Notamacropus eugenii: one gene and its partners. The protein of the gene in region 1 interacts with the protein of each later gene in a pairwise test. Links are inferred from orthologs where the notes say so. Each region holds a gene or a part of one and is shown in the gene's direction. Other genes may lie near its edges. The genes, in order: ABI2, CCDC102B, WIPF1 and STAM2.

What was found.
Region 2: the proteins of ABI2 (region 1) and CCDC102B interact in binary tests that used the Homo sapiens proteins (3 or more experiments, as listed by UniProt). The link is inferred for Notamacropus eugenii from reciprocal best matches to the Homo sapiens genes ABI2 and CCDC102B.
Region 3: the proteins of ABI2 (region 1) and WIPF1 interact in binary tests that used the Homo sapiens proteins (3 or more experiments, as listed by UniProt). The link is inferred for Notamacropus eugenii from reciprocal best matches to the Homo sapiens genes ABI2 and WIPF1.
Region 4: the proteins of ABI2 (region 1) and STAM2 interact in binary tests that used the Homo sapiens proteins (3 or more experiments, as listed by UniProt). The link is inferred for Notamacropus eugenii from reciprocal best matches to the Homo sapiens genes ABI2 and STAM2.

What each region holds. Positions count from the first base shown.
Region 1 is NC_092877.1:299,597,888-299,604,910, forward strand, and holds the start of ABI2 (abl interactor 2), read left to right. Parts: upstream 1-4,012; 5' UTR 4,013-4,335; coding exon 4,336-4,452; intron 4,453-7,023. UniProt on the Homo sapiens protein: Regulator of actin cytoskeleton dynamics underlying cell motility and adhesion. Functions as a component of the WAVE complex, which activates actin nucleating machinery Arp2/3 to drive lamellipodia formation.
Region 2 is NC_092875.1:218,775,613-218,783,624, reverse strand, and holds the start of CCDC102B (coiled-coil domain-containing protein 102B), read left to right. Parts: upstream 1-5,006; 5' UTR 5,007-5,118; intron 5,119-8,012. UniProt on the Homo sapiens protein: During interphase, forms fibers at the proximal ends of centrioles to maintain centrosome cohesion. During mitosis, dissociates from the centrosome following phosphorylation to allow centrosome separation. Contributes to CROCC/rootletin filament formation.
Region 3 is NC_092876.1:236,944,807-236,952,245, reverse strand, and holds the start of WIPF1 (WAS/WASL-interacting protein family member 1), read left to right. Parts: upstream 1-4,429; 5' UTR 4,430-5,776; intron 5,777-7,439. UniProt on the Homo sapiens protein: Plays a role in the reorganization of the actin cytoskeleton. Contributes with NCK1 and GRB2 in the recruitment and activation of WASL.
Region 4 is NC_092876.1:209,401,283-209,408,868, reverse strand, and holds the start of STAM2 (signal transducing adapter molecule 2), read left to right. Parts: upstream 1-4,568; 5' UTR 4,569-4,659; coding exon 4,660-4,699; intron 4,700-4,892; exon of another isoform or gene 4,893-4,999; intron 5,000-5,093; exon of another isoform or gene 5,094-5,280; intron 5,281-7,586.

The sequences.
Region 1 (7,023 bases):
TTCATTTATTAGAAAACAGTCTCATTTTGTACCATTTAGTTTTTAGAATAACAAATAGTCTCTTCACAAGGATCCTCATCATAAGATAAAGGTTACAATGGTTTCATAAAGAAAGAAATATCCAATAAAAGATATGTCCACCTTCTGAAGACACAAGTCTTTTCCAGCTCATGTTCAGCTAAGGCAGGTGAAACCATCTTTTCAGCTTCTCTCAAGTCCTCATTCCTATGAATGGTTCTCTCTAGACTCACTCCTCATAAGGTTCTCATGAAATGTTTGCTAACATTATAATTGTTACTCTTTAGGGGCATAACAAATGGCTCCTATTTTACCTGTTCATCTGATACAATTACATAGGGACTCATCTGTAGATATGAACAAATTTCAGTTTCCTTCAGCAACTTAAACAGTACTGTTAATTAGTGGAGGAACTATGTGTAGCATAATTATATTTCCTTTTCTCTTAATGATAACTACTAGACCTTTTTGGAATTTGCAGTTGTTATCGCTTTCTTTTCTTTCCTTTTTTTCTTCTTTTCGGCAACAGAGGCATAACGGTGGATGTTTGGATTCTCTAACAATCTGGGAGTTAAAAGCTCTTTTCTGGACACCAGAGATCTCCAGCTGTTACAAATTAGGTTGATGAACCATTCCCTTAGCTCAACTTAGGGGGCTAATTACTAGTCATCATTTGAAATTAGATAGGCTGAGTGTAATAGGATACAGACTGAAAGATCGGATCAAACTTAAGTGTTTCTTATCTTTTTTGATCCACTGTTTCGATCTAAATAAGTTTAGTCTCATATAAAATGTCCTTGATGTGATTTATTTTTAATTTACTTGTTTGTTTACGTAAGCATTATATTACCCATGAAAGTCTATTGTTCACGTTAGCGAAATTTTTTTTCTTTTAATTAACAGTAGTTGCCCTATCACAAAAGTCTGAATTCTATATTATACTAGATAAACTTGTAATTACTTAAACATAAAAATAGTCCAAAAATTTCACTATTCCTTTCCTGAATCACAGATTTAGAGTTTGTAGGGGATTTAGTGACTATTGAATACAATGCCTAGATTTTACAGATAAGGAAACTGAGACCAGCAGGTAAAATGACTTAAGTCACACAAATAGTAAATGGTAGAGCTGAAATTTGAGGCCAGGATCTCTGACTCCAAATCTAGTACTTTTTCTCACTGAACCAATTTCTTTTTTTTTTTTTTTAACCTTTTGTGGATTACAACGAACTGAAATTTTATCTTCAGAAAATCCTGGAATGAATGTTTTCCATGAACCATGGAATGTGATTAAGAAAGGGAGGAGTAAAGGTGTCCAAGGTAAATCAGAACCTTCTCATTTGAATTCCTAGAGTCTGATTCAGATTAACTTTAATATGTTATTCATATCACATGCTATATGATATATATAACATATGGTAAACTGGGAGCATCCCCTCCCAAATCTCATGGACAGTCATCTAGAAGAGCCTACCTAAGTATCCACTCAAAACCATAGCTTATAACCTCCCACTTTTTCTTCTGAGGACATAATTAGTTCCCAGCAAAGGCACTTAATGAAATTACATTAAAAAGGAGTATGCTTCCTCCATAAGCCTGGGATACACTCTCTCCCAAATATACTCACTATCCATGGTAAGAATTGATATACGTATGGCACACATGTCAAGATGCATATATAAAGGGAATGTATGTGGCCAAGGAAAGGCTTCATACTGGCACTGCACAGCAGAAGGGCTTTACTGCTCCTTGCTGGTCTCACATTTCTGCGGTCTCTGCCAAGTGTGTTGTCTCTGACTGGTATTTGAGTGTGGCATTTAGTCTCTGTCAGATGTCTACTCCTGCTAGCCTTGTGTGGCCTCCACTTTTCTGATGGTTACTGCCAGGCTTGTGGCCGCTGGGCAAGAAGTTGGAGCCCTTCCCTAGCTTTCCCTAAAGTCCTCAGCTGAGGTGCTACCTCAGAAAGAGATACAGCTTTTTTTGAAAGGCTAACTCCCTAACACATTCAGTCATCAGACGGGAAACATCAAAACCAAAACAAAGCCTTCAGTGGTTTTTCTTCCCATTTGAAGAAAACTCCTGTTTCTCTAAGCCTTGGTTGGAATATATACTTCCTCTCCACAAGAAGATTCCATGCTCCAGGTTAAATTCTTTCGAACAGAGAGCCAGAGCCATTCTTGCTAGCTAGTGTATGTTTTAAGTTTTATCTCTGTTTTAGAAAACTGTATTTTCTAGTTATCAGGGGTCTAAATCTTTGTTCTCTGTCAGAGGCCTTGCTATGACTTAGGATTAGAAAGTCCACGTCATTCTGTTTAGTTTCTGATTGCTAAATTTATCGAGTCAGCATACATTAGATGCTTCTTTTCCAGCAAACTAACAAAAGTTCACCTATGGCTGCCCAGTTCTCCAAGTCTCTCATGCAAAGCACTGGGAATAGAGAAAGGCACTGCAATAAAACTATCCCCAGACAGAAAGGTCATTGCCTATATCACGCTTAGTTTCATGTATGCTGTGTGTGGAAGGAAGAAAACAAGTTTGATCGCTAGCTCTGCTGCCATGTGCTATGTGCGTGACCTTGGACGTGGAACTAACTCTCAGGCCTCATTTTCCCCATTTGTAAAATGAAGCTAGAACAGATAGCTTCCAAGGTTCCCTTCTTTGATCCTGACTGTGTACATGGCCACCAATGAACTTCCCAAGAATGGTACACTTCTCAAATCAGGATTTGTTTCAGAAAAAACTTTATGGTGAAAAGGTATTAAAGTTGGTGGTTGCTTTTGGGAAGCATAATCGCATGAGGATTTAAACAGTCAGCCAGAGAAAAGGAAGTTATGATTGGGGACAACTGTAAGATCTTGGCAGATTAAAAGCAAGAATTGTACCAATACAAAGAGGAAGAAAAGAGACTTGATCTAAACTGTAAACTTGCATGTTAGGGATTTAGCCTCCTCAGCTTTGGTTCTCCATGGTGCCAAGAGGATACAGACTTAATTAGGTGAGGGCAAAGAGTCAGGATTTGGGAAGGAGGGAAAGAAAATGTAATAGATACATTGTGACCAATTCTATTTTTTGCCCTTTTAGAATCAGTTCAAGTGGTCGTTCCTGGAGCATGTCAGGCGGATTCTACGGCCACTCTCACCAACGGCAGCTCGTCTGCCCTGCGTTTTGGGGGCAGTTCTGGACTTTCCGAGGGACTTCTGCCCAGCCGCTCTTGGAGGAAGGAAGTTCTGAACCAGCAAAGTTGTTTCTGCAAGTTTTCAGCGCTAACTCCCTGAGGAGAACCGGCGGGAGGCGGCAGAGAAGTGACGGACCCCCAGGCAAGCTCAGGGCAAGGGGGGCGACGACTCACCGAGCGCCGAGCCGGGAACGTGGACAGCGGGCAGCGGAGAGGAGAAGGCTCCGGAGGGCCGGAGATCCGGCCGTGAGAGAAGCCAAGACGCGGAGGGAGGAAAGGGGACACTCGGGGAGTCTTCTCTAACCGGAACCGGGGCGGCTGTCCGGCCGGGGGAGCCAGACCCGAGCTGCGTGCTGCCTGCCTCAGTCTCCTCATCCGTAAACAGGGACAGCAGCCCCTTCCTCCCAGGGTAGTGGGGAAGGCCTGGGCAGGGCTCCTGGCACGGGATCTGGATCCCGAGGATTTGGGGGGTTGGGGTGGGCCCGATCTGGGCAAGTCACCGTTCTGGTGGGCCTCAGTCTTCACCTCGATAAAGTGGACGGGGTGATCCTCGGCTTGGGAAGCGCCAGTGGGAAGTGGGCCCTGAGGCTTCCACGGGAAGGCCCGGGGCGCCGGGGGAGGGGGTGGAGAGCCTGCGCTCGGCTTTCGGAGGCTGGGGGGGTCGGGGTGCGGGGGGGGCGGGGAGGGAGCGCTCCCCTCCCTCGACCTTCGGCACCCGCCAAGGGTTAACCCTACGACCCGAAGACCCGAGCGCATCCCAGGCTCCCGCCTCCTTCCGTTGCTAGGAGACGCCGGAAGTGGAGGGAAGGGGGCGGGGGCTGGGAATCAGGCTTTCAGGCCCTGGGGTCGGGAGCCGGGAGCGGAGGGCTCCGGAGCGCGCGCCTCCGCTCTCTCGCGCCCCCGCTCCCTCGCGCCCCCGTGACCGGCCTGAGGCCGCGCGCGCGCCCCGCCCCCGGCCCCTCCCCCTCCCTCGTTCGCTCCCCCTCCCCGCCTCGCGCGCAGCAGGGGGGAGATTCTCGCTTTCCGCGAGTGGCCGCCGCCGCCGGCGCTGCTCCTCCTCTCCGGTCTTGGGTTTCCCTGGTGCCGCCGCCGCCGCCGCCGCAGTTCGGTGTGAGGAGGAGGAGGAGGAGGAGGATGTGAAGATGGCGGAGCTGCAGATGCTGCTGGAGGAGGAAATCCCGGGGGGCCGCCGGGCCCTGTTCGATAGTTATACTAACCTGGAGCGAGTGGCCGACTACTGCGAGAACAACTACATCCAGGTGGTCGGCATCCCCCGGGCCGCGGCGGGCTGGGGGAGGGGCGCTCGGGGGGCGGGGGGGCACCCGCAGTGCTCCCGGGGGCCGAAGCTGCCCGGCGGGAGCGAGCTCGGGGGCCTTAGGGATCCCTGCCCCTCCCCCCCGTCCATTCTCCTCCCCCGCTCCTTCCCCCTCAGTTCTCCTCTCTGCTCCCCCTCCCCCACCCTCCCCTTCCCCTCCCCCCTCCGCCCCCTAGTCTTGGGCTGTGACGGCGGCTGTGGGGCTCTGCCTCCCGGGGCTTGTCCTGGGTGGGGGGGGTGGCTCGGGGGTCAGGAGGCTGAGGCTCGGCAGCGCTTCCCGAGCCGCGCCTGACCCCCCGCCCGGCGCGTGGGATGGCGGGGGAGGCTGAGCGGCGTGGGCAGCGCTCCCCCCCATCTCCTCGGTGGGTGGGGGCTTCTTTCTCGTTCTCATTCGTGTCAGTGGCTCTGGGAGCCCCGCGCCCTGCTCCCCTGCCTGCGCTGTAGGTCGGCGCTGGGGGTGGAGGTCGCTGCTCCGCGGGGTGCCTGACCCCGTTCGCTGGGCTCGGGGGTTCTCCGAAGGGCTTTCTTCTCTTCTCTTCTCTTTTCTTCTTAGGACTTGCAAGGAAACGATGGGAAAACACTAGTTTCTTGATGAAAGTTGTCATTTTTTTTCTCAAAAGGGAAAAGGGGAAGCCGCACTATAAAGAATCTTCTCTTCAGTTAAATTAAATGATGATTTTTTCCCTTTGGGAAGGAACACTGTACATACTTGACACACATTATTATGAAAGGAAGGAACCTCATGGCATCATTTCTTTCAGTTTTCCAACTGGGGACTGACTGGATGGTGGGAGACAGGGAATCCGGATACTTCTGTGATAATGCTTGGGTTTATGTGAAAGCACAGATACCTTTTAAAAAGCCCTTTCCCCCCCTTAAGGAATGGTTTGTTTGGAAAAATTTGTTAAATATAGAATTCCTGAACTGAATATCCTTCGCTTACCGTATAGTTTGTTATAGGTCTTCTGTTTTTCTTTATGTTCTCCAGGGATAAAGGTGGTAGTGGAAAATGTTTCCTCCCTGTGTTTTTTCCATTCCCTTTGTTCGCATTTGCCCTTAACCTTCAGGTACAATATAAAACTAATAAAGAGAAGTTCAGGGTAAAATTTATAAGTTCACCGATTTTTGGATGTTATATGTGATTGTAAGGATAGGAAAGAATTGTAGATGTGAACTTTAACTAGTCTATTAGCATATGTAATGACTTTTCACAGTGTTTTATAGGGAACATTTCTACTCAACTGAATTAGATTTAAACCAAAAGATTTTTCTCGTGATCAGAGATAGTTGGAAGAAAAGTCTTGTCAGAATTGGAAACATTACTGGGAAACACTACTATGTAGTCTTTTTTTTCAATAGGAAAGAATTGTGGGACAGAAGAAATTTCAACTGATAGTGGTTATGAAGAGATTTGGTGGATTGGAGGGATAGCCTTAGGTAGACAGGACTATTGGTACCCACTTTGGAGGAGTTGGTAACATGCTATTGAAAATAAGGAAATCATCAGCATTTTCCGAGGGATCACTGAATAGATGGATAGGTTGCAGGATTGGTAAAAAAGGAAAAAATGTTCTTGTGATTAGGAGTTTATTATAAAGTGAAAATAAAGGTTGAGAAGAGGGAAAGAAGAGAATGACTTTTTTTCCTTTTGGGTCAGGCCTCCAACCTCCACTTCTCTTTATTGAAGATCTCTAGAGTAAAAAGTTTCATTTCTTTATGAATTACAGTTGTCGGTGAAAGGTAAACTTATATGGAATAATAAAGCTTAGAGGTTAAATGAGTCATTGATGCTCCAAGAAATCTTCCTTCTCTCTTCATTCTGTTGCCAGTGAAAGCTGTACGGTAAATTTTGTACTCGTCTAGCTAAAGACATTGAAAAAAGACCAGTGTAGCTACAAAATATTAAATTGTTATCCTGACACTGGGACACCAGAAATAGTTGGTAGATTTGTGATCAAATTTCAAACAAAGGCTCTACACATACATTCATATTAAACATATGTTCACATCTACTCACAGTAGTAGATGCTGCTGGCTGAATGGGGACCCAGCTAGCTGGGTAACTCACCTCCTTCTTTCCTGTCTGCCTCCCCCTCTCCTTCCTTCTACAATTCTACAATTGTGTTTGTCCTTCGTTGCTGAAGAAGACCATGCCATCAGAGAAATGATGACATGACTTGCACTTCACTTTGTTTTGAGGGAGGGCTGTGCAGGTCATCAGCCTCACTTCTCCTCAAGAGCCATCTGAATCCAGTGACCTGATATTCCTCAGGATGACTGGAGATGACCCAGGATGCACTGGGAGACCTTGGGCTGTTTAGGCCAAGGTCTTTGCCGGCACTCACTTAGGGGGAGGCAACGCTCATTCATTGAATAGGTCTGTTTAAGAAGTAGCCAGGGCATGGCCCCTTTAATGAGGTCAAGAAAAAGAAAGACATCAGCCTGGGTGGGAAACAGCAGCCGTTACTATTGATAATCACTCTCAAGCTAGGAGGGTCCAGAGGAGGTTTTCCTG
Region 2 (8,012 bases), on another chromosome or scaffold:
GGCTGGGTGTAGTGGGTGATATAATAAGGGGGTTAAATATTTAAGAGAAGACATTAATGTTGATTTGAATTGCTTCATAAAGGAGTGAATAGGGGAAGAAGAGGAGAGAATGCTAGTATATGCAAGATGGCCTTGGACAGAATTGAGGGGTCCAGGGATTAGAGGTCATGGTGAAAATGAAAATTAGGGTTATATAAGGAAAGGCACAGGGAGGGCTGAAAAATCAATAGGTTATGATAAACTAAGGGGATTTTAGAATTCCTGAACATTGAGGTGGTACATTTGTGTGTGATGGCAAGATCAGTGGCATGACTATCTTTGTGAGTGGCTGAGAGAAAAAACTCATGAGAATGAGCAGGTTGATAACTGAATTGTGAGGTATCTAAGGGAGAATGAATGTGCATGTTGAAATTCTCCAGTATGAGTGCTGAAGATGAGAAAGAGAGAATAATTACAAGCCACTTATAGAACTCATTAAAGAAAGTAGGTGAGCAACATTTAGGTTTATAGATAACAGCTACTAGGATTTTGATTGGATAGTAGATATGAATAGCATGAACCTCAAAGGTAGAGAAGTTCCTGAGTGAAGAAGGAAGGGAGAGAACCTGCAATGACAATAGGGAGCAAGGAGAATTCCAACTCCACTGCTTCAACCATGAACCAGAGAGAATGAATGAAAGTACAGCCAATACTGGAAAGAATAGTCAGGGAGGCTGTGTCATCAGGGGAAAGTCAAGTTTCAGTAAGAACTAGTAGAGAAAAATATGTATTTAGTCTAATAAGGGAAACTGTGCATTAAATTTTTTTTCATCAACTATTTTCTAGTATGGATCTACTAGATCTAATAGTCAACATAAAAATATCTTAGAACAATTCCTCAATTAAATAATTCATTAAAGGTTGCAACAAAAGATTTTGAAAAGAATTTCAAATTATTAACAGCTAATTGAAAGAATTTAACAAATCCTTACCTCTCAGATTTATGGATAAGAGCAGAATTTGTGACCAAACAAGAAATAGAGAACATTATGGTTTATAAAATGGATAATTTTGATTACACTAAATTAAAAAGGTTTTGTACAAACAAAAACTAATGCAGATGATTAAAAGGAAATCAGAAAATGGAAAAAATTATATATAACAAGTTTCTCTGATAAAGATCTCATTTCTCAAATGTAAAGAGAACTTAGCCAAATTTATAAGAATACAAGTCATTCACAAATTGATAAATGGTCAAAGAATATGATGAGGTGACTTTTAGTTGAAGAAATCAAAGCTATCTATGTCAAGTGAAAAGATATTCTAAATCACTATTGATTAGAGAAATGCAAATTAAAACAACTCTGAGGTACCACCTTACACCTATCAGATTGGCTAATATGATAGAGAAGGAAAATTATAAATGTTTGAGATGATATGGGAAAATGAGGGCAGTAATTAGTGTTAGTGGAGTTGTAAATTGATCCAACCATTTTTGGAGAGCAATTTGAAACTATTTGCAAATTGCTATTAAACTGCCCATATTCTTTGATCCATCAATACTACAACTAGATCTGTACCTAAAAGAGACTTTTATGAAAAGTAAAAGGACCTATGTGTATAAAAATATTGTTGCTCTTTTTATAGTGACAAAGAATTGGAAATTGAGGTGAAACCCATCAATTGGGGAATGACTGAATAAGTTGTAGTATACGGTTGCACTAGGAATACTATTGTCATATAAGAAATAATGAGCAGGATCCTTTAAAAAAACCTGGAAAGATTTTCATGCACAATGAAGTGAGCAAAATCAGGAGAACATTGTACACAGCAACAGTAATATTGTGTCAATAGTTGTAAAAGATTTAGCTACTCTCAGCATTACAAAGATCCAAGAAAATTCTGCTAGACTTGTGATAGAAAATGCTATCCACCTCCAAAGAAAGAACCGATGGAGTCTGAATGTGGATTGAAACGTACTATATCAAAGCATATTTAAATTGTGTTTTCTTTTTTTTTTTTGAGTTTATGTTTTCTTTTACAACATGACTAATATGAGAATATGTTTTTCATGACTGGACATGTATAACCCATATCAAATTGTTTGTTGTCTCAGACGGATTGGAGGGGAGGAAGGAAGAATGTGAAAGCATCTGGAACTCAAAATTTTAAAAAATGTCAAAAATGATTTCTACATGCATTGGAAAAAATAAAATATTAAACAAATAAAAAAGACTAACAAATCAGTAATAATGATAGGAATAAAAATCAAAGAATTTTAAGAATTAAACATAGCTGGCAAACTGGAGAAGATTACAAAAGATAGAGGGTCTGAAAAAATACAGGCACACTAAAGTAAAATTGTTAATTGATGTTATCTTTCTGGAATCCTATCAGGAACTATACTAAAAAGTGATTAATGTGTCCATATGTGCTTTGGCCCATATATGCTATGACAGTATAAAAAGCATATACCAGGGAAATTGATGTATGAAGATAGATCATTTATATACCAAAAAAAAAAAAAAAAAAAAAAAAAGCAAACCACAGCAGCATTCTTTTAGAAAGGAAGAATTAGCAAAAAAGTGGGAGCTCATAGATTGTGCTTCGCACAAAAATCACTCAATAAATGCTTGGAGAGGTGGAGGAACATGAATGTGCAGTGTTTCATATAATGCTAAACTTTGTTGATATATTGGTTTCTTTGGTTAAACTACTTTTCTTTGCTTTTTTAAGTGTTTATTATAATATGTGGTTTACTGGGTGGGGAGAGTGAGTAATATATTTAGAAATAGATTTGAAGCTAAAGACAAAAGTCATCAATAGAAATAACTTTTTAAAAAATTAGGTGTGAAATGTTTTGTGGGCTTAATGATTCTATGATTCATTTTGAATTCATTCATTCATTCATTACACATCTTTTCAATACCTACAATTGCAGTGAGTATTTATGTAGCATTTCACAATTTACAATATATGCTTTCCTTACAAAAACTTCATTGAACAGAAGGTTCTGTAAATATAATTAACTCCATTTTATAGATCAGGAAACTGAGCCTTAGGTGAATATATGATTTGCTCAAGGCTATGGAACAATGTAATGGTGGAATGGGATTTAAAATTAGATCACCTAAATCTGGTCCTGTTTTGAGAGAGAGAGAGAGAGAGAGAGAGAGAGAGAGAGAGAGAGAGAGAGAGAGAGAGAGAGAGAGAGAGAGACAGAGAGAGAGAGAGAGAGAAAGAGGGAGGGAGAGAGGAAGGGAGGGAGAGAGAGAGCGCACGCAAAGACAGAAACAGAGACAGAGACAGAATGAGAATGATATAGACAGATCGACTTCAAGGTCATATGATTAGCAAAATGGAGGAGCAGACGCAATCTCTGATTCTCATAATCTTTCTAACCTTTCAGAAATAGGAATTATGAGTAAGAGAGAACACCAAGAACTCAAATGAGGTAAAAATTCAGTGAATTAAATCTAAGAAGTTCTAGACGCTAACAAATTTCAGTTAGCATATGTTCCCCACCCACCCTCTAGTAGCAGAGTTGTACAAGTCAACCAATAGACTTGAAGCAGAGCTCAATTATATACCCTCCCCACATGTCCATGAGTGGTTTAAAAGAGAAATAAAAATTGTAAAAGAATTTATGTCCTATACAGCAGAGATAATTAACAAAATAGAAAAATTTGAATTCACAGTGACACATATCAACACAGAAACTAGAGAGGATAACTGATTGGGAATGTAACTACATGATAGTGAAGGACAATCTAGAAGACAAGCAAAAAGCAATAATATTAAAGTAATGCTATTATTGAAATGAAAAGAAAGTATGATCTCCATATAAGCAAAACATTGATCTGGAAGATAGGGTGCATAGAGCCAAACAAAAATTGACAGAGCTCTCAGAAGAACTTGAGTCAAAAAACCTGTTCTGCTGCTAGAAAAAAAAGCAGAAGGGAAAGATGATAAGGATTTGAAAAGCAAAATAGGTGTTTCTTTTTGTTCTTAGAGCAATTGTGAGTTGTCTTTGTTGTGGAGTCTGTGATACATCCAGTAGGATCTAATTCTGGCTTTCCATACAATGGGAATCTTGTAGCTGTTTCTTTCTCAACTTTTCATATGACCAGGACAGTATAATTAGTAGCCTATTGGGTACATATCTGATTTGAATTACTGCCACCAGAGGATGCAGATAACATCACATTATTTAATAACAAAGATTAATCCTCTAAACCAAAGGGAGAGAAAATACAAATAATTGAAGGAAAATTTTTTTTTCCTGTTATATGATGTTTTTGTCATTTAGTTTTCCTCTGGACAATTTGAAATGTTAGAGTTAACCTTTGAAATATTTTTTTTACTTGCATCCCTAAAGGGATAAAACATCACCACTCCCTCAGTGGATCTTGACAGCTGAGTCATGTCAATGGAAAGTCACTCAGATAAACCACTGAGATTCAGAGCCAAAATTCTCTCACTGGGGGGTCCTTGACTTGGAAACTCAGAATTCTTATCAGTCTGACTGAGATCAAGTGTTCTGACAGAGATCTTGAACTGTGATTTATTTACCAGAACATTTCGTTAAATTTACTGCGTTTCTTTTACAAAACAAGTTACAGTGATATACTGAATACTGCAGATATTTTTCTATTGTTAATTATAACAAAGGATGTTTATGCCTTGCCTTTGCAGATTTGTTCATTAGTAGTTTTTCTTTTGGCATTTTTGTTGCATTTAAAATAGTGACTGGCTGAATATAATGACATGAAAATAAGTAGAAAACTTGCTAATGAGACACTATGTTTAGATTTCCTGATATGTTCATAGTATATAGTTTGAAAAGGTAGGGAAGGAAAGCTTAGGAAACTCACGTTTAGTTTGGGGACAGTAGAAAAAGAATTTATTTTGGTTAGCTAAGTTGAAATCCAAAGAGTCTGTTGTGGTATTGGCTTTGATAAAGCTTCACAACCAATGGGAATCCTTTCTGAGTTAGTGTGGAGTGGCCTTAATGCTGGATATAATCCTGTTGGCCAAGACCCCAGAGCTGTACAGATGAGGAAAGGATGCAGGAAATTCAGTTGTTTACACATGTGTCTGTAACACTGAGAAGCAAGAGCAGCCCAGCAAGTCCAGAGGGTAAGAGTGTTTAATAACCTTGTGGTTTTTCTATTTAATTTTTATACTTTCCTGCTGGGGTAGAGCATGAGTTGTTCTCTGAGCAAGGGAAAAAGTAGTTGGTTATAAGACACAGAGCAAGACTACTGTGGGTCTGTGAAACGGAAGAAACAGACGTATTTGGAGTTTCTTGCTAAGTTGGATGTATTTTTCCCATTCTTTTTTCATTTTTCCACTATTAGTACTGTTTATCTTGACAGCATATATATTTCCTGTGTTTAAAATATTTGTATAGTTATCATAACCAGGTAAGGTTTTAGCATGCAAATATAGATAGTAACTGAAGATATTACTTTACAGACTTTGGTAGTAAAAGATGAAAATGAAATACCAGAAATGTTGGCTTTATTTTATGCTATAAGAAGTAAAAAAGGTAACATTGCTTATCAAAACTATAGATTTATGCTTCATGCACTTGAAGTCCTTTGGAAATGTCTAGAGCTTTTGTTGAATTCCTGTAATTGTTGACAGGAAGTCCTGTGATCAAAAGAGATATGTTACATTTCAGAGCAACCACAAGTGATCTGAATTTCCTTATGGAAAATACAGGATTCCATTGTAGAAGAGAGAGGGACAGAGAATAAAGGTTAATACATAGACATACTAAGGGAATGGAAAATATAACTACACAGAGAAGTAATGCTATGTCTCGACAACAACAACAAAAATTCTTTCTTTGACAACTTGAGAGATTTACTTTTTCTGTTACTTTAAAAAAAAGATCATAATTTTGATTACCTGTGAATGTGAAGTAGGTTTGGCAAATAGAAAGGAAATTCCTAAAATCATGATTAGCTACTGGATAAATGTAAGTAACAGATGGCTTTCAAAAACTTAATCCTTCTATTTTATCTCTCTAGCCACTCTCACACCAATTCTGATTTTTTCACCTCTCTAAATCAGCTCACATATCAGATTTTATAATCTTTCTTTGGGGACAGGGCATTTCAATTTCTAGTTAAATTTTGACGAACATATCAGAATTCAAAGGATTAGATCAAAGGATTGTTGATCCCAGGATAGTTGCTTTAGAACATAGTAGAAAAAAGTTTTTTTTTTTTTTTTCACGTAAGTAAATCACCATACTTTTACAGCCAACAGAAGATCTTAGTTTGGAAAAAAATTATTCCTATACTATTATTCTTACCCATACATTTTCAATGACAACATTAAATTTAAGAGAATATCCTTTAATATAGTACCAATGCAGTTTTCCCATGCTTTTATATTGTTGATTAGAAAGTAAAAATATTTATTTTGAAAATCAGGGGAAGAATGTACACCATTCTCTTAAAATTGTTTATTTCCAAACATCTCTAGAGATTATCCTGCTGTGTAATAGCAAACCATTTCATTGATTATATTTTTACTTTCTCTATAAATATTGGTTGGATTCAGTCCTGAGATGAAGATGCTATTAAATATTCTTTATGATGTTTATATATTGTTTTTAGAGCCCCAAAAGACAATAGTGGCATTTCCCCCAATTATGTCATGCAAGCATGGATCTACTCTTTATACAAGAGCATGGGATTTTCCATGTAGATGTCACTTATGTCAATTGAATTCCACATTTAATTTTTCACTAGTTTCCAAAATAGGACAAAGATAGATATGGGTTTATATCCTGATTCCACTGGGGACAAACTATATCTTCTGTTACTCATTTAACTTCTTCTGAACAGTGGTGATTTTGTTTTTCATATTCACATTAGTTGCTTCTGTAATCTTTCAGTCTTTTCTCCCTTTCAATACCTTAAAATTTTTTTTTTTGTCATTCTGTACTCAAGAAATATGCATACTTTTACAGAGAACAATAAAAAAGAACTATATATGAAACTAAAACGTAATCATATTCGTTTCTCTGTGCCTTCTCTTTAAGGATTCATTGATATCCCCTCTTTTTTGGGGGGCAGGAGTGGTCAGGAGAGGAGAGATTCAAATTTTTCTCCACTTCCCAAAAACAACCTCTGCCTTTAACAAGTTAGTGTGGTCAAATAAAACAAATGTACCCATTGGTCATAGCTGAAAATTTATGTCACATTCTTATATCTCTAGTCCATAACCATTCCTTCAAGAGCTGGGAAGAATATTTCAACACTGGTCTTCTGAGGCTGTGGTTGGACATGACATTAACCCGGATTCTTATGTCTTTCAAAATTATCTTTCCTCCAGTGTTAGCCTCTTTATATCAATTATTTTCTTGGCTCTGTTTACTTCACTGTATTAGGAGAGGCATATCTTCCCAGATTTTTCTGAATCCATCCTTCTCATTATTTCTTATAGCCCAATAGTACTCCATTAATCCAGATACCATCATTTGTATGGCCATTTTCCATTGAATGGACAAATCATTTATTTTCAGTTCTTTGCTACAAAAAAGGGCTACTCTGAATATTTTTTTATATATGTGGATCCTGCAGCATGGTACAATGGTTCCAAATCAGAGGATCTGGGTTCAAATCTTACTGCTAGTATTTCCTTGGGCAAATCATTACACTTTTCTGGGTGTTAGTTCCCTCATCTATAAAATGAGGGAGTTGGATTAGATAGCTTCTGAATTTGCTTTCATATCTTGCTCTTTGATCCCTTTCTTTTATGTCTTTGGGATATATGCCTAGTAGTGAAATCATTCAGTCAAAGGTATACATAATTTAGTGGCTTTGTGGGTATAATTCCAAATTATTTTCTAAAATGGTCAGGGCAAAAAGCTGCCAAAAGTAGATTAGTCTGCTTGTTCTCTCATATCCTCCCTAATAATTTTCATTTTTCTTTTTTTGTCATTGCAGCCAAGAAGGTATAACCTCATAGTAATTTTAACTTGCATTCTTTTTACTATTTGTGATTTTTCCATA
Region 3 (7,439 bases), on another chromosome or scaffold:
CAATGAAGGCTCAAAATTAGAAGATTTGTGGGATCATATATTCTGGCCATTAATTATATAACTATAAAGATATGATTGTGTTTTTAATATAATACATGTGCTAGTTTATCAAAAACATTCATGTGTTGGTATAAACATATTATAAAATTGTTTTTATTGTTAATAAGTTACTATGTTGTTTTCCTAATATTGAGCCGTCATTGTATTCCTACTGTAAATCCAACTTGATTATAATGAATATTTAATATATTTTTGTTTCCTACTTTTTGTGTGTTTGTCCTTCATTGCCCAAGAAGACCATGCTATCAGAGAAATGATGACATGACTTGCACTTCACTGTGTTTTGAGTGAGGAAGGGCGGTGCAGGTCTCCAGCCTCACTTCTCCTCCAGAGCCATCTGAATCCAGTGACCAGATATTCATCAGGATGACTGGAGATGACCCAGGATGAGGCAGTTGGGGTTAAGTGACTTGCCCAAGGTCGTAGGTCTAAGATCCTGTAGTCCCTTATCAGTCATGAGGATTAGTGATGATAGTGAGCCATTTCAAAAAGGAGGCATCATGACTCATGTCTAAATCATCTAATAACATACAGTTGCTGTTCCTTGACCTGCTAATTCCCAACCTTGGATCATCTCCTCCTCTTATTATTTAATTTTTAGCATATTATTTAATATACATAATCATATTCATGGATGTAAAGGAGGTTGAGAATAGGCAATCAGATAAATAGGAGGATAACTAAGAGAAAAGAGTATCATCAGCACCCAGGAAAGAGAGAGTGTCCAGAAGGAGAAGGTGGTCGATCCTGTCAAATACCCCAGAAAGGTCAAGAAGGATGGGAACTGAAAAAAAAAGTCAATGAATTTAGTAATAAAGAGGCCACTGGTGATCTGAGAGAGAATAGTTTTGATCAAATGGTAAGAGTGGAAACTAGACTACAAGGGACTGAGAAGTGAGTGGGATGTGGGAAAGAGGAGGCAACAATTGTAGACAGCTGTTTATAGTAAGTTGACTGTGAGAGTAAAGCTATAGTATGATAGTTTGAGTGGAGGGTAGGGCATGTTTACATCTTTGATTCTTCTCCTTTAGCCCAAATAATCTAACATTCTTTCTCTAAAATACACGTGTTTAGTAAAATAAAGGTTAAACACTAATTTGTTAATGAAGAGGAATACTAGTACATGTATGAAACAACTGAGGAGCCATTGATGAAGAGCAGTAGAGAGAATGGGCCTCACAAGTATAAGGTGGGGACCCATACATGACTTGAAAGGAGGCAGAATAGACATCTCTAGCCTATTTCCCCTCCCCACCCCCACCCTTCTCCAAAGGAGATTTTCATTCCTGCCAGGAGAGAAAGCAGAAAGTTAGGCCACTATACTCTTCTCAGAGAAAGACTGTATGGGACCAGAAGTATATCTATTCAACTTCCTTAAATATTATTCACATAGGGGATACGTTCAGGTTCCATTTAACTTCTGTTCTCTTTGTCATTTGGGTAGAAAGAAGAACCTCAAGTTCTATAGCCAAGGCTTGACCCTTTTCCCACACAATACCATTGCATAATGAACACACATAGCAAATAACAAAAAAACTCATACATCCAAATCAGAAGCAAAACAAATCAAAGGAGAATATATACAAGACAATACAGAATGAAGGAGCTCTCCCCTTAGGAGCCAGATTACAGTTCAACCATCAAAATGTCCCAGATCTCCCCCAAAGGGAAATTCCCCAAAGTCTCGAGAGTAGCAAATTGAAAATAGGGACATGGAGACCACAAGCACCTCTCATATCTTCCCAGAGGCTTTTCCTTTTGCAACCTGGAGTAAGGTTGGCTTCTTCCATCTTCTCCATCTCCTCTCTCTCTCTCTCTCTCTCTCTCTCTCCCCGAAGTCAAATAGAAGCTCTAAAAAGACTCTCACTTGGAGAGTCCCCACAGGGGGACTGGAGAAGGCTGGAGTTCTCTTAACTCTCTCCAATTCTGCCCATCCTTCCCAAAGCGCAAGGTATTCATCTCCACCAATAATTGTGTTCCAAACATAGTAAATGTTTAGCATAAATTTATTGAATTCAATTCAGTTCAATTGATGTCTCAGTTTTTCACTCTAATTCCCATAATCTCCATTTTACTCTATCTCTATCTCCTATCTCAGGCCTCACATCATCTGCCTTCAAGATCCAGAGCTCTGAAATTCTCTTTTTAGGTGACAATCTGTCTATCTTTCTATACTTCCACCTCCGTTTCTTGACTCTCTTCTTTGCCTTCACCCTGAGGTCAATTATATCCTCCTATCACTACCCCCATTGTAGTTTCATCTCCCTAAAGTCCATTCCTATTCTAGGTCTAAGATGTCCCTTATCAGTCTTGACGATTAGTGATAATAGTGAGTCATTTCAAAAACGAGGCATCGTGACCCATGCTTAAATCATCTAATAACATAATTCTGTTGTTTCAACCTTGGATCACCTCATCACCTTATTTGCAGCTTCCCCTTTTATTTCTGATTATTACTTGAGAGCTGCTAAAGGAAACCTATTAATATGCATAATATTCATGCTATTGAATCTAACTGGGCCCTCACTACTGCATAATAATATTTAAATTTATTTCTGATGGACTGCCCAGTAAATTTCTCAAACTCCTAACCTTTACCCATCTTCTCTCTCAACAAATGACCTTGCCTTCCCCAGACTGAAGCTATCCTACATGAAATCTCTCATCTCTCCTTCACATGGAAAAATCTTTTTCTGTCTTCATTCATCCTTTTCTCTTTCCCTCCTGAGTGAAGGGGGTAGACTTCTTTCTTCACTGTCCAGGTTTACTCCACCTAAACTCTTGATCACATCCTTGTCTCTGCCATTACCTTGCAATTCTCTTTCATCTTTCATCTCTTTTTTCTCTTTTGATGCTAAACTTTTTTTCCAAGCACTTTTTCCACTTCCTTACCACCTGTGCATCTCTCAATAATCCCTTGAAATACAGCTTTCATCCCTACCTCACCAGGGAAACTACTCTCTGTGAACCCAAGAATGATATTCCAATTGACCTAAACCAAAACCTTTTATCAACTCTTGCTTAAAAAACAATTCTTAAGCATCTCCATTTTTTTTGCTTTCTTTTCCTTTGCCTTCCATTACAATGTACTTTCCTGGTTCTCCTCCTACCTTTCTGACTACTCCTCTGGCTTCTTCACTAGTTTTTTTCTTCATCCTATAATAGCCACTTCAGTGTGGTTATCCCCTAAGGTTCTATCTATGACTCCCTCCTCTTCTCTATCCTCCTTTTCAGTGCTAAATTTCTAGAAAGTGACCTTCATGATCTCACCTACTTCCTGGTTTCAAACATTCCCACTAAGATAATAATCAAATCTAAATCTCCAGCTCCAACATCTACCTTCAAGCATATTGCCATATTACCTGTATGACCTTCCTACACCTCATACTCAACATATCCAAAATGGAACTCAAGCTTCCCAGAGGAAAAAAAAACCCACAACAACTTATCCCTCCTCCTTATTTTTGTGTTTCTATTAATGATACCATTATCTTCTCAAGTCATCCAAGTTCATTCAAATCAACTATATTTCATTCTTCCCTTTCCCTCACCTCCCATATCCAATTGTCAAATGCTGTTCATTCTGCCCTCTCAAAATGTCTCATCTGTTCCCTTCTTTCTACTTCCCACATTACCATCTTAGTTCAGACTTTTATCACCTTTTGACTATACTATTTTATACACCTGAGCTACCTCATTCCAGTCTCACCCTTGTCCAATTAATCCTACACTGAGGTAGCAAAATAATCTTCCTAAGGCATAGGTCTGATTATGTTACTCCCTTTGCTCCAAAACATCTTATCATTTTCCACTGCTCAGGACTTAGAGTCAGGAGGTACCTTGTTTCAGATCCCAGCCATGGACTTACTGACTGTGGGACCCTTGGACAAGCCACATAACCCCTGTGAAAGTCAGTTTCCTTATTTGTAAAAGGATAATAATTTCTAATAATTCATTAGGACTATTATCAAATGCTACATCAAAACAAATTATTTTTCTCATTTTTTTCCACTTTGAAAGACATCTATATTTCTTTTTACTTTTTTATATATAATTAATTTATTTTTAGTTTTCAACATTCACTTCCATAAGATTTTGAGTTTTGAATTTTCTTCCCTATCCTTTCCCCCTCACCCCCGCCCCAAGATGGGGTGATATAAGCTCCACTTATACATTCATATTAAACATTTTCATATTAATCATGATACAAAGAAGAATGAGAACCAATGGAAGGAACTATGAGAAAGAAGAAACAAAATGAAACAACAAAAGAAAAGGAGAACAAATATTATGCTTTCATCTGTATTCAGACCCCCAAGTTCTTTCTCTGGATGTGGAGACATCTATATTTCTTTTGGATAAGTTTTTAAAAGATACAATTTAGTTTTTCAGAAAAAAAATTTTAGGACAACTCAGATTATGATTCAGTGTGCACAACTCTTCACCTAGACAAAGAGGCACATGGAGCTTTTACATTCCTGTTCCCCCAATCCATACCCAAATGAGCTGCTTCTGAAGAAGGCCCCTGCGGGATATTGATATAAGGAGATAAAGTTCAAGGCCCCTATCCTGCATTCAAAACTGGCTCTAACCCATCTTTCCGGATTTATTACGTCACACAACCCTTCATGCCTATCTCTATTCCAGTTAAAGTGAACTAATAGCTATTTCGAATCTCTTCCTAGCATCTCTCACCTCCACCACCCCACATTCCCTGTCAGAGGTAGAAGGAAATTTAAAGATCATACAGTTCATTCCTTCATTTTAGAAAAAAGGAAACTGAGACAGTGTCTCTCCACCCGTCATTGTTAAGTGACTTGCCCAAGGTGATGCAAGCAGAAAGTGATGGAACACAGATTCAAACTCAGATTTCCTGTCTCCAAATCCTGTGATATTTCAAACTATGACTCTTCTCTCTGGAAATCCTCTTCCTTCAACCCCCTTCGAGAACCTTTCCCTGTTCCCTCCTCTCTCCACCCAACTAAGATTCCAAGGTCCCCAGGTTCTTCACACCCTTCTGTTTTTCTTCTCTCTGTAAATCCTTTCATCACATTTTAACGTGGGGTCGTAGATTTAGAACTGGAAGGGACCTTGGAGATCAAATCCGACCGCCTCATTTACTGATGAGAAAACAGAGCAAAGAGAGGTTAAATGACTTCCCAGGGTCACACAGCTGGTACGTGAACCCAAGTCTGCCGGACTCCAAGCCCCAGTGCCCAGTCTCCTATGCCATAAATACTAGTTATGGGAATACATGTGCCATCCCCCTACGGGACCATACATTCCTGGAGGAGACGGACAGCGACGTCTTCGCCTTTTTAACCTCCGTGCCTCGCACACGGCAGGCGCTCAACAGTTTGTTGACTGAAGACAGGAAAGAAGCGGTCTCCAGCGTCCACAGTGGCAGCTGTAGCAGCGGCGGCAGCAGCGGCCTGCTAAGTCCACATGTGGCAGGGCCGGTAGAGGGGCGGGCAGGGGGGTGGGGGAGGTAATGTTTGGAGTGGGAGGGTTTACATCACCGCGAAGTTCCCGGATGGTCGTAGCCTCCGAGCGCAGAGAGCTTTTCCTGCCCGCCGGGGAGAAGTTTTCCAGAGAAAAATGCCCCGTGCGCTGCAGCTGCTGGGGAACAAGCGGGAGCCGCCGCCTGCAGCTGCGACCGCCGCCCTCATCCCGGGAGGGAGCCCGCGGGGAGGGTTCTAGGAGCGGAGCACACCCGGTAAGAGACGCGTTTTCTTCCTCGTCCTGGCTTATCTTCTCTCCCCCCGCCCCCGCCCCCACTTTCAGAACCAGGCTCCAGCTCAGAAGGTGGGGCGAGGTGGGGGATTAGGGGGAGTTGGATGAATATTTGTGCGCGCCTGTCAGCAAGCGGGGCTTTCGGGGTCGGGCTGAGCCCTCGCAGCCTGGAGGTTATGAGTGCAGCATCTGGCTAGGAGACCCTCTCTCTGGTCTGCAAGGCACATCTGCAGAAGTGAATGCCCTGCTCCTTCCCTCGGACTGGGAGGGGGATTTGGAAACACTACTTTGGGGATCAGTGGGAGGGGGGAGAAGAAGGAGATAGTGACGTGGGAAGTAAGGAGAAAAGAAAAAAAGAGAGAGATGTCGAAACAGTCCTTATTTACTCCAAGAGTGGGTTTCGTTGAATAACATCAGTCCCCTCCCAGGCCCTGCTCTCCCAGATGTGTTCCCAGCTCCTTCATCCAGCTTTCACAAAGTGGCTAACTTTTTCCTTTGGCTGCCGGCAAGGCGCTTTCTCGGATGGCCTCGCCTTCTTGATTCCTCCCCTCTGGCCGGGATGGGGCAGTCCGGGGACCGCAGGGCAAGAGGTACTTGGAGATCTTAGGAAGAAGGTGACTGTGGTGCTGCCCTTGCGCTCCGGGACAAAGCAAACTGACAACCCTTCCTGGGCTCCGCTTGACTATAGGGCGAGATTGCAAAAATCCAGTACTCGAGCTGCTCTGGGCGGAGGCATAACGAGTCCAGAGCTAATTTGCACACTACCTGCACCAAAAAGAGGAGAAAAGCTAAAAGAGACTTGTACAGCATCCCCATCAGCTTTTTTTAAAATGAAACAGTTACTTTCCGTTGTATAGTCCACTAACACATCACCTTCCTCAGTTCCTTCCTTAAATTGGACTCTTGCCTACTTGAATGTCTCCTCCAAACGTTCCCTCTTTGCATCTGCTGGTATCCGTGTATGCATGTGTGTGTGCATATGGTCACTGACCTTAAAATCACTGCCAATTCTACCCAGCACTTTTCAAAAGTATAGGATATACTCTTCCCAGACTTCTCTGCAATCATTTGTTTCTCCAGTTCCTTACTCTTTCTTTTGCTTTTTTCTAATAATATCTTCCAAAGATTTAAAGAAGTTAATTGTCAGTGCTCTCACCAGGAAAAGGAAACAAGCTGACCCAGGCAGGAATTCTGCCTGGTGGTCCAAATGCAGAACTGGCATTAGACTTGGAAACTTCTTAGTTTAACAAAGGGTGGGTCTGTTTGAAGGCAAGCCCTAGACAACTGGTGTTGGTCAGAGCAGGCTAGATCTGGGCACCCCTCTCTTGTTTCATTTTTGTCCCTCTTAGTCTTATACCCGAGAGGAAGAGGGAAATAGTGGATAGAGTGCTGGACTTGGCAGCAGGAAGACCTGTGTTCAAATCTTGCTTCTGGGACTTAGTAACTGTGCAATCATGGACCAGTCCTTTAACCTATCTGAGCCTCAGTCTCTTTATCTCTAAAATGGAGATAATCACGTCTGTTATTGTGAATCTCAGATAAATAATGGGTAAATAAAGGTGAAGGGTGGCTGAAGTGGTGACCAGTAGGATGTGAAAGGTGTGAAGAATGTCATTGTAGAAGTTCGAAAATGACCATTCTTGGCC
Region 4 (7,586 bases), on another chromosome or scaffold:
AATTGTTTTTTTGCTTTCTTACTCCATTACCATGGGAACTTCACAGTCTGTAACAGGAGCTTACAACCTTTGTATATGTATGTATGGATGCGTGTGTGTGTGTGTATGTGTGTAATGGGTCCCTTTGGCAATCCATTAAAGCCTATGGACTCATCAGAAGCTTTTGCAATGGAGAGGAAGAGGGGGGAGGTGAGAGGGAAAGAATGAACCTAACTCTCATCACATTTGACTTAAGGAGGGAATAACATGCACACTCAATTTTGTATGAAAAATCTATCTTACACTACAGGAAAGTAGGGGGGAAGGGGATAAGCAGGAGGTAGGTGAGATGATAGAAGGGAGGAAAAATGGAAGGAGGGAGTAATTAGAAGTAAACGCTTTTGAGGAGGGATAGGGCCAAAAGAGATAAAAAATAAACAGGAGGCAGGATAGAATGGAGGGAAATATAGTTAGTCTTTCACAATATGACTGTTATAGAAGTGTTTTGCATAACTACACATGGATAACCTATATTGAATTGCTTGCCTTCTCCGTGGGGATGGGTGGGGAGGGAGGGAGAGAAGCTGCAACAGTTTTAAAAATGAATGTTAAAGTTTTTACATGCAACTGGGAAATAAGATATTCAGGCAATGGGGTATAGAAATCTATCTTGTCCTACAAGAAAATAGAGGAGATGGGGATAAAAGAAGGGAGGGGTGTGATAGAAAGGAGGGCAGATTGGGGGGCTAATTGAAATGTATGCTGTCTTGCAGTGGGTGGAGGGAAGAGATGGGGAGAAAATTTGGAACTCAAAAAATCTTGTGGAAGTGTCTGGTGAAAACTAAAAATAGATGAGTTAATTTTAAAAAATTAAAAAACATTCACTATTTCCTTCAGTTATTTAAAAACATCATTCTAAGAGGGGATCTAGAGGTTTCACTGAACTATCAAAGAGTACTTAACATAAAAAATGTTAAGAATCTCTGCTATTAGCCCATTCTACTCATGGTCTTTGGAGGTTGTCCTCCAATTCAATCTTTAGTATGTGTGAAGTAGTTTTGGAAAAATGAAATGTGCCCTGTGCCAACCTAAGGGTACAGTTATTGATATGTATAGTAAGGTACACCAGGCAAGAGTTGAATGTGGAACAGGTAGGCATCTGAGAATGACAAAAGTTATATAAAAATAGCTATGTAATAACAATAGCTATATGTCAATAGCACCTATCTCCTAGTATTGTTGAGAGGATCAGATGAGATATTTGTAGACCACATGGCATGGTGCCTAGCACACAGAGGGTGCTTAATAAATCCTTCCTTCCTTTGAAATTTTTATAGTTCCAGAAAGGTTCTACCTGATGCCTTCTCAAATTGTGGAGGTGATCCTGGGTTCCTAGAGGCCATGCCATGACAGCCCGTATGATTTAGTTATTTTTTCTTTTGTTCATTAAAAAGGCCATTCCCTGACTACTTCTTAAAGAGGCCTATTCACTCAATGGGTGTTACCTCTCTCTAAATGAGCACCTGAAAAGGCAAGCCTAAAAAGGCCAAGGTCTCCCATTATATCCTGGGTCATCTCCAGTCATCCTGATGAATATTTGATCACTGGATCCAGATGGCTCAGGAAGAGAAGTGAGACTGGTGACCTTACATAGCCCTCCTTCACTCAAAGCAAAGTCAAGTGCAAGTTATGTCATCACTTCTCTGATGTCATGATCTTCTTCAAAAACGAAGGACAAACACAGATCTTAGGAGTGTATAGGATTTTAAGGTTTACAAATATTAGAATTTGTGCAGAACTAGGGTGGTTAGTATCAGAGGTAAACCAGTGTATCGATAATACATTTTTGCTTATTGTTAACGTAATTTTGCTTCGTAATGAGAAGATCTTTCCCATCCATTAATAGGCCCATGTGACCTGCTTAAGTCACATGGAAGCCTCAGTCACATGAGTCAAGTCACATGGAACAGGAAGGGGTAAAGTGGAAAGAGTGGGAAAGGAAGAGGCAGAGCTAGAGTAGAGCTAAGAGAAAATTTGGTCAGAGCAGTCAGAGCCAGGAAGGATGGAGGTAAGCAGGCACCTGGCTAGTGTGAGTGAGAGAGCTTGTTCATGATTTGTTTAAAGGAACTAGTTTGTGGGAAACCTAGCAGGGGGGAGGCTTGGGGATGGTATTGTCCTCTGCATTGTTATTGTGTGTAGATTTTTCTTACTATGATGAATTGGACTTTCTGGTGGTCTAAATAAATGTTTTGGTTCTGTCTTCCATGCGGAGATTCTGTTGTATTTTGTGATTCAGAATTGTGCTGGATATTCATGGCCACTGTAGGTGCTGTGAATATCCCATTGGTGCTATAATCAGAAAAAATTTCACTTTAGCTAGCTCCCCATCTTCCAAATGTATGCTGCACCATTTTTTCCCGTTTCCTCCTTAGTGGTCATGATTTTTCCTTAGTCTGCTCTATCTCTCATTCAAGAGTGGGCAAGGTCCTTTGAATTCAATGGGAGAGCCTACTGGCTTCTGAGGAAAACATACTTCACTTCCCTGAGTTTCTTCTTACCAATCTGACTGCTTCCTCTTAGTTTCCTTTGCTGGATCTTTATCCAGATCATGGCCACTAACTGCGGATATTACCCAGGTCTCTGTCCTGGGTCATTTCCTTCCTTTATACTATTTCTCTTGCAAATCTAATCAGCTTCCATGGATTCAAATATTATCTCTACATAGATGATTCTCTCTCTTTCTTCAGACCTAACCTTTCTAACCTCTGTTCTTACATTTCTTGATTGGCCATTGAACATCTTGAACTGGAGGTCCCACAGCCATCTTAGAGTCGACATGTCCCAAAGGAACCCATTCTCTTCTTTTCCCAAACCTTCCCACATTTTTCTCTTTACTGTCAAGGGTACCACCATTCTCACTACAAGGTGAGAAGGTGTCATTTTCAACTCCTCATTCTCCATCCAGACTGTCACCAACCCCTGCTGATTCTAGCTTCTTCTACATGCCCTCTTCCCTTTTCCCTCACTTCACTGCCACAGCTAGATTATGGCAATAACCTTCTGGGTGGTCTCCCTGCCTAAGTCTAGGGATCTTCCTCAAGCGCAGGTCTCAGCAGACCCCTAACAACCCCGAGGTTCACTATGACCTCCTGGATCAAACGTAAAATGCTGCTGCTCCTGACACAGTTCTCCATCTCCCACATGTCCCTGGTGGTTCCTCGGGCCCCTCCCTCCTCCTTTCTGTCCTTTTTCCTTCAAGTCTCAGCTAAAATCCCACCTTTTATAAGAAGTCTTCCCCGGTGTTCCTTAATACCAACGTCTTCTTTCAGTGATTCCGATTGATCCTGCATCTAGCTTGTTTGTACGTAACTGTGCATGTGGTCTCCCCCAGTATTCCGTGTCTCCCCCAAAAGCTCCTTTGCTTTTCTCTGCATGCCCAGTGCCCGCGTGGCTTCATAAGAAAGCTTTAATCATGAATTCATTGGTCAGCGGCCTCCGACGGTCCCATCCCGGCCGCTGAAAGCGGAGGCAGCTCCAGGGCTTGGGGCCCCATCACCTTCGCTGCCCCTCGAGGTCACCTTCCCAGTGTCTAGACTCGCCCTGCAACATGCCTGCTGGAGCGCCTTTCTCTTTACGGACTGCCACCGAAATCCCCTGCTCGGCGTTTGTTCCTTCTTCTCCCTTTAAATACCAGAACAATCAGCACTCCCCCTCAAAACCTGCCGCAGCCGGCGGAACCTCCCCGCTCAGGGCGTGCGGAGCGCCCAGACAAACAGTCCTGGACTACATTTCCCACAAGCCTTCTCGGCAAGTCCTGGAAGATACACCTCTAGCCTGGAGAAGTTCGATCCCAAACCAGCCGGGTACACCTACCTATCGCTTTTCTCTCGACCCTGCAAATTAAGTGGTATTCCATTATTTCACGGGGGAAGAACCGGAGACTTCAAAATATTAACATATCACACAGTGAGTCAAATGTTAACACCATGATTTGAACCTAGGTCTCATTAGTCCACAGCTCTTCCCACTACATCCATCACGCCGGGAAAACCACGACTGGAGATCACCCCCATTTCCAGAGAACCCAGGGCCTACGGAGGAGGCTGAGTAATAATGAAATGCTGGGCTGTGTTGTTTTATGCGCTTAAGGACTGCTGCTTCCCTGGAAGGTTGCCGGGAAGGCGCAGGACCCTTGTGGAAAAGCCTGGGCACGGGCGCCCCCTGCTGCCACCCATCGGCCTTTGTGCCGGACTCTAGCCAACCTGACGCTCAGCTTCCAGGCTCCTGTCACAACTTCCGGTCCTCGAAGGTCCCTATTCCGGAAGGGGTCCTCGAGATCGGAAGGTGGTTGGAGCTAACGCCTGAAGGCCGCGTGACACTGGAGTTCAGGTAGTTGCCCTCCTTTGGGCCTGCTTAGGGAAAAGGAAGCGGAGAAGAACGCTGACAGCCTCTCTGAGTATAGCCAAGGGAAGGCATAGCTCAGGAGGCTCGGGAGGAGGTCTCGGCCCCTTGGACTCAGGCACGAGCAGGGGCAGCTGCATTTGCGGAAGTGCTGAGGCTGGGCCGGAGGACCGTCCAGGAAGCGGCGGCCGCTGGGTCGAGGAGAGGGGTTAGGAATTGTCGCCGCCGCCACTGCCGCCCTTATCGCGCCTCACCTGGAGCGGACCGGGTTGCGGCAAGATGCCTTTGTTTACGCCTAATCCTTTTGAGCAGGATGTTGGTGAGTTGCCGGGCCAGGCCGTGGGCCACAAGGGCTGTTCCCCCGGAGACGCGGCCGGGGTGAGCAGGGGCGGCGGCGGCGTCTCTTTGGGCCGCTTCTTGGCTGCCCTTCCTCTCCCTGGGGGTGGGGCACTATCCTAGACAACCCCTGGGGGGCCAGCCTGGCCCCCTCGGGCGTGGAGTGGAAGCTCCTCTGCTGCCTTTCCCTGTGCCCTGACCCGGGTCCACAGCAGCGAGAACCACGTTGTCTCTAGAATATCGTGGAGAGGCGACGAAGGAGCAGACCCCTGACCGTCCCAGGGTAGGGGGTCCGTCGGGTCTGGAGACCTTCAGTCTTCTCCGGAGTGTGGGTTTTAATAGAATGCATCTGGGGGGTGGGGGGGGGAACTGGAGCTAGACTGTTCTTACATATTCGTGGAACAGCCAAAAAAAACATGAAGTATTTATCTGGACCTTGAGGAATTCCTGACACGAGACACTTGCTCTCCCAGTCCCCCGATGACTGGGATGCTCTCTCCTCATCTCTGCCCCGGCTTCCTTCAAACCTCTCCTGTAACATCTCGCATTCAGGATCTCCTCAGTGTACGTGTCTTTGGTATCCGAAATTCATCCTCTGTACTGGATCTCGTTCATACGAAGTTTGCACGTCGTCTCTCGAAGGCAGAGCTTGATTTGTTGTTCTTTACTTTCTTTGTGTCCCTGCCGCTTATCACAGTGGCATGTAGTAGGAGCTTAATAAATGCTGGTTGATTGGATGACTAAAAACTACATAATAGAATATCCCCCAAAGTGACTGAAAGCATGCCTGAGCCGCGTAGAATTTCATAATTATGTATTTGTTTTAGTAATTAAGATTTTCTTCTTTGAAAACCAAATAATTGTTTATAGCTCGTCAGAGTCGTGAACGTTTACGCTGCTTGTGAGTTTATTTTGCGGCTCTTTCAAGTTATCTGTTCTCAGCCATTGCAACAATCCTGTGACATAGGTAGGATGTTGCAAATGAGTAAGAGGGGTGTAGAGGTTCAGTGACTCATCCGGTGTCATCCAGCTGGTTTGTGGTTGCAACAGATTTCCTGACCTCAATCAGCCCCTCTTATTAATTAGTTATTAATTAATAATTAAGCCCGCCTTACGGGTGTAATGAAAGGAAAGCCAGATTTAGTCAGAGGACCCCAAATATGGAGTCTGGGGCTTACTACTTTGTGACTTTGGGCAAGTCACTCTTTCTTTCTAGTTCTCTGGGAAAGTTCCTTATTCTTTCTGAGCTTTACTTTCTTCATCTGTAAAGCCGGAGGTGGCCTCTTCCAGTTCTGATCTCTGATCCTACGTGCAAAGCACTGTGACAGCACTTGTGACAGCAGAAATGGAAAAGCAGCACATCCCCTGCCCTCAAGGAACTTTCAAGGGAAATAGGTACACAAAGTGAATCAGAATAGAATGTGGTAAAGCAGGTTGAGATACTAAGAAATCTGAGAAAGATCACTTCATAGAAATGGGGACACCTTTGGTGGACTTTAAAGACTGAGAATAATTTCTCAGGTGGAATTGTGGTAGGAGGAATTTCTGAACAAGGGGAAGAAAATCTACAATATTTGAAAAATGAGAGGAGAGGGCAGGACGAGAGAGATGAGTAATTTGTCTGCCCTTAGGATCTATGAAGTGAAGTAGAATGAGATGGTATCAGAGAATCTAGGTTCTAGTCTCACCTCTGTGCCATCTGTGTGCCCATGGGCATGTCATTAACATCTCTGGGCCTTTTTTTTTCCTTATCAATAAAAGTAAGGAATTGGATTAGAAGGCTTCTGAGTTCAGTAATGTTACAAGACTGGAAAGTTAGAGGAGAATCAGATTTCAAGGAGGGGAAGAGTTGTGAAATATTACACAATCCATAGGCTTTCTTGGTGACTTAGTAGAGAATTGTTTCAGTAGAATGTTGGGGATTGAAGTTTGAGGTAAGAGGTTGTAAAGAAGCTCAGGCAATGAGGGACCTGGGAGATAGTGATTGCTATAGAGCTTAGTTTGAGGAAATGAGATCTAGCAAAAGGTTTCTTGTTAGTTTTTTCAGTCACCAATTTACTAATGCTTTCTGTGTGCCAGACGCTACTAAAAGCTGGGAATACAAAAACAAGAGTCTGTCCTCAAGGAGCTTACAGCCCTTTGGGGGGAGACTGCACACAAAAAAGAACCTGAAAAGCAGGGAGAGAGAGTGGGAAAGTACCCAACTTTGGGGTCATGTTGGAAAAGTCAGAGAAGTCCTTGAGAAATGCAACCTGGTGAGAAATGAGATGATCTGAGCTGAGCTACTTCCTTAAATGGGGGTCAGGAGTTCATGGCCCCACCCTCCAATCAGAGAAGCTGACATGTATCAGGTAGCATACAAGACTCAGGCCCAGGTCAGGGCTGCTAGGTTGTGGCCCTCTAGGTCCTTAAGTGTGGCCCTTTAATAAAAGAATTTGTTCTGTAAAACTTGGACTCAGTCAAAAGGCCACACCCAAGGACCATATGTGGCTTCAAGGCCACAGGTTCCCCACCCCTATCACAAATGCTTTAATTCAAAAAAAGGGGGAAATAATTACTAATATTGCATATTTCTTATCTAAAGCAATTTGAAAATGTTAAAATTATAATGTAAGCTGGTATTATCTAGGAATGGAGATGAGGATATGAAGTTGATTTCCATGGATGGCATCAGTCTAAAAGGAAGGAGGCAGTGTTATCTTCTTAGAGCCCTGTGTGAAATCTTCTGTACCTGGAGAGTAGGATCAGTGTTTAGTAAGATAAATACATGAAGTTCTGTGTGTCCTTACAAGCATAGAAAAAGATTTGTTTTTGTGGTTATCTTGTCCTCTACATTTTTATTAGTACCTAACTGATTTTTATACTCTACT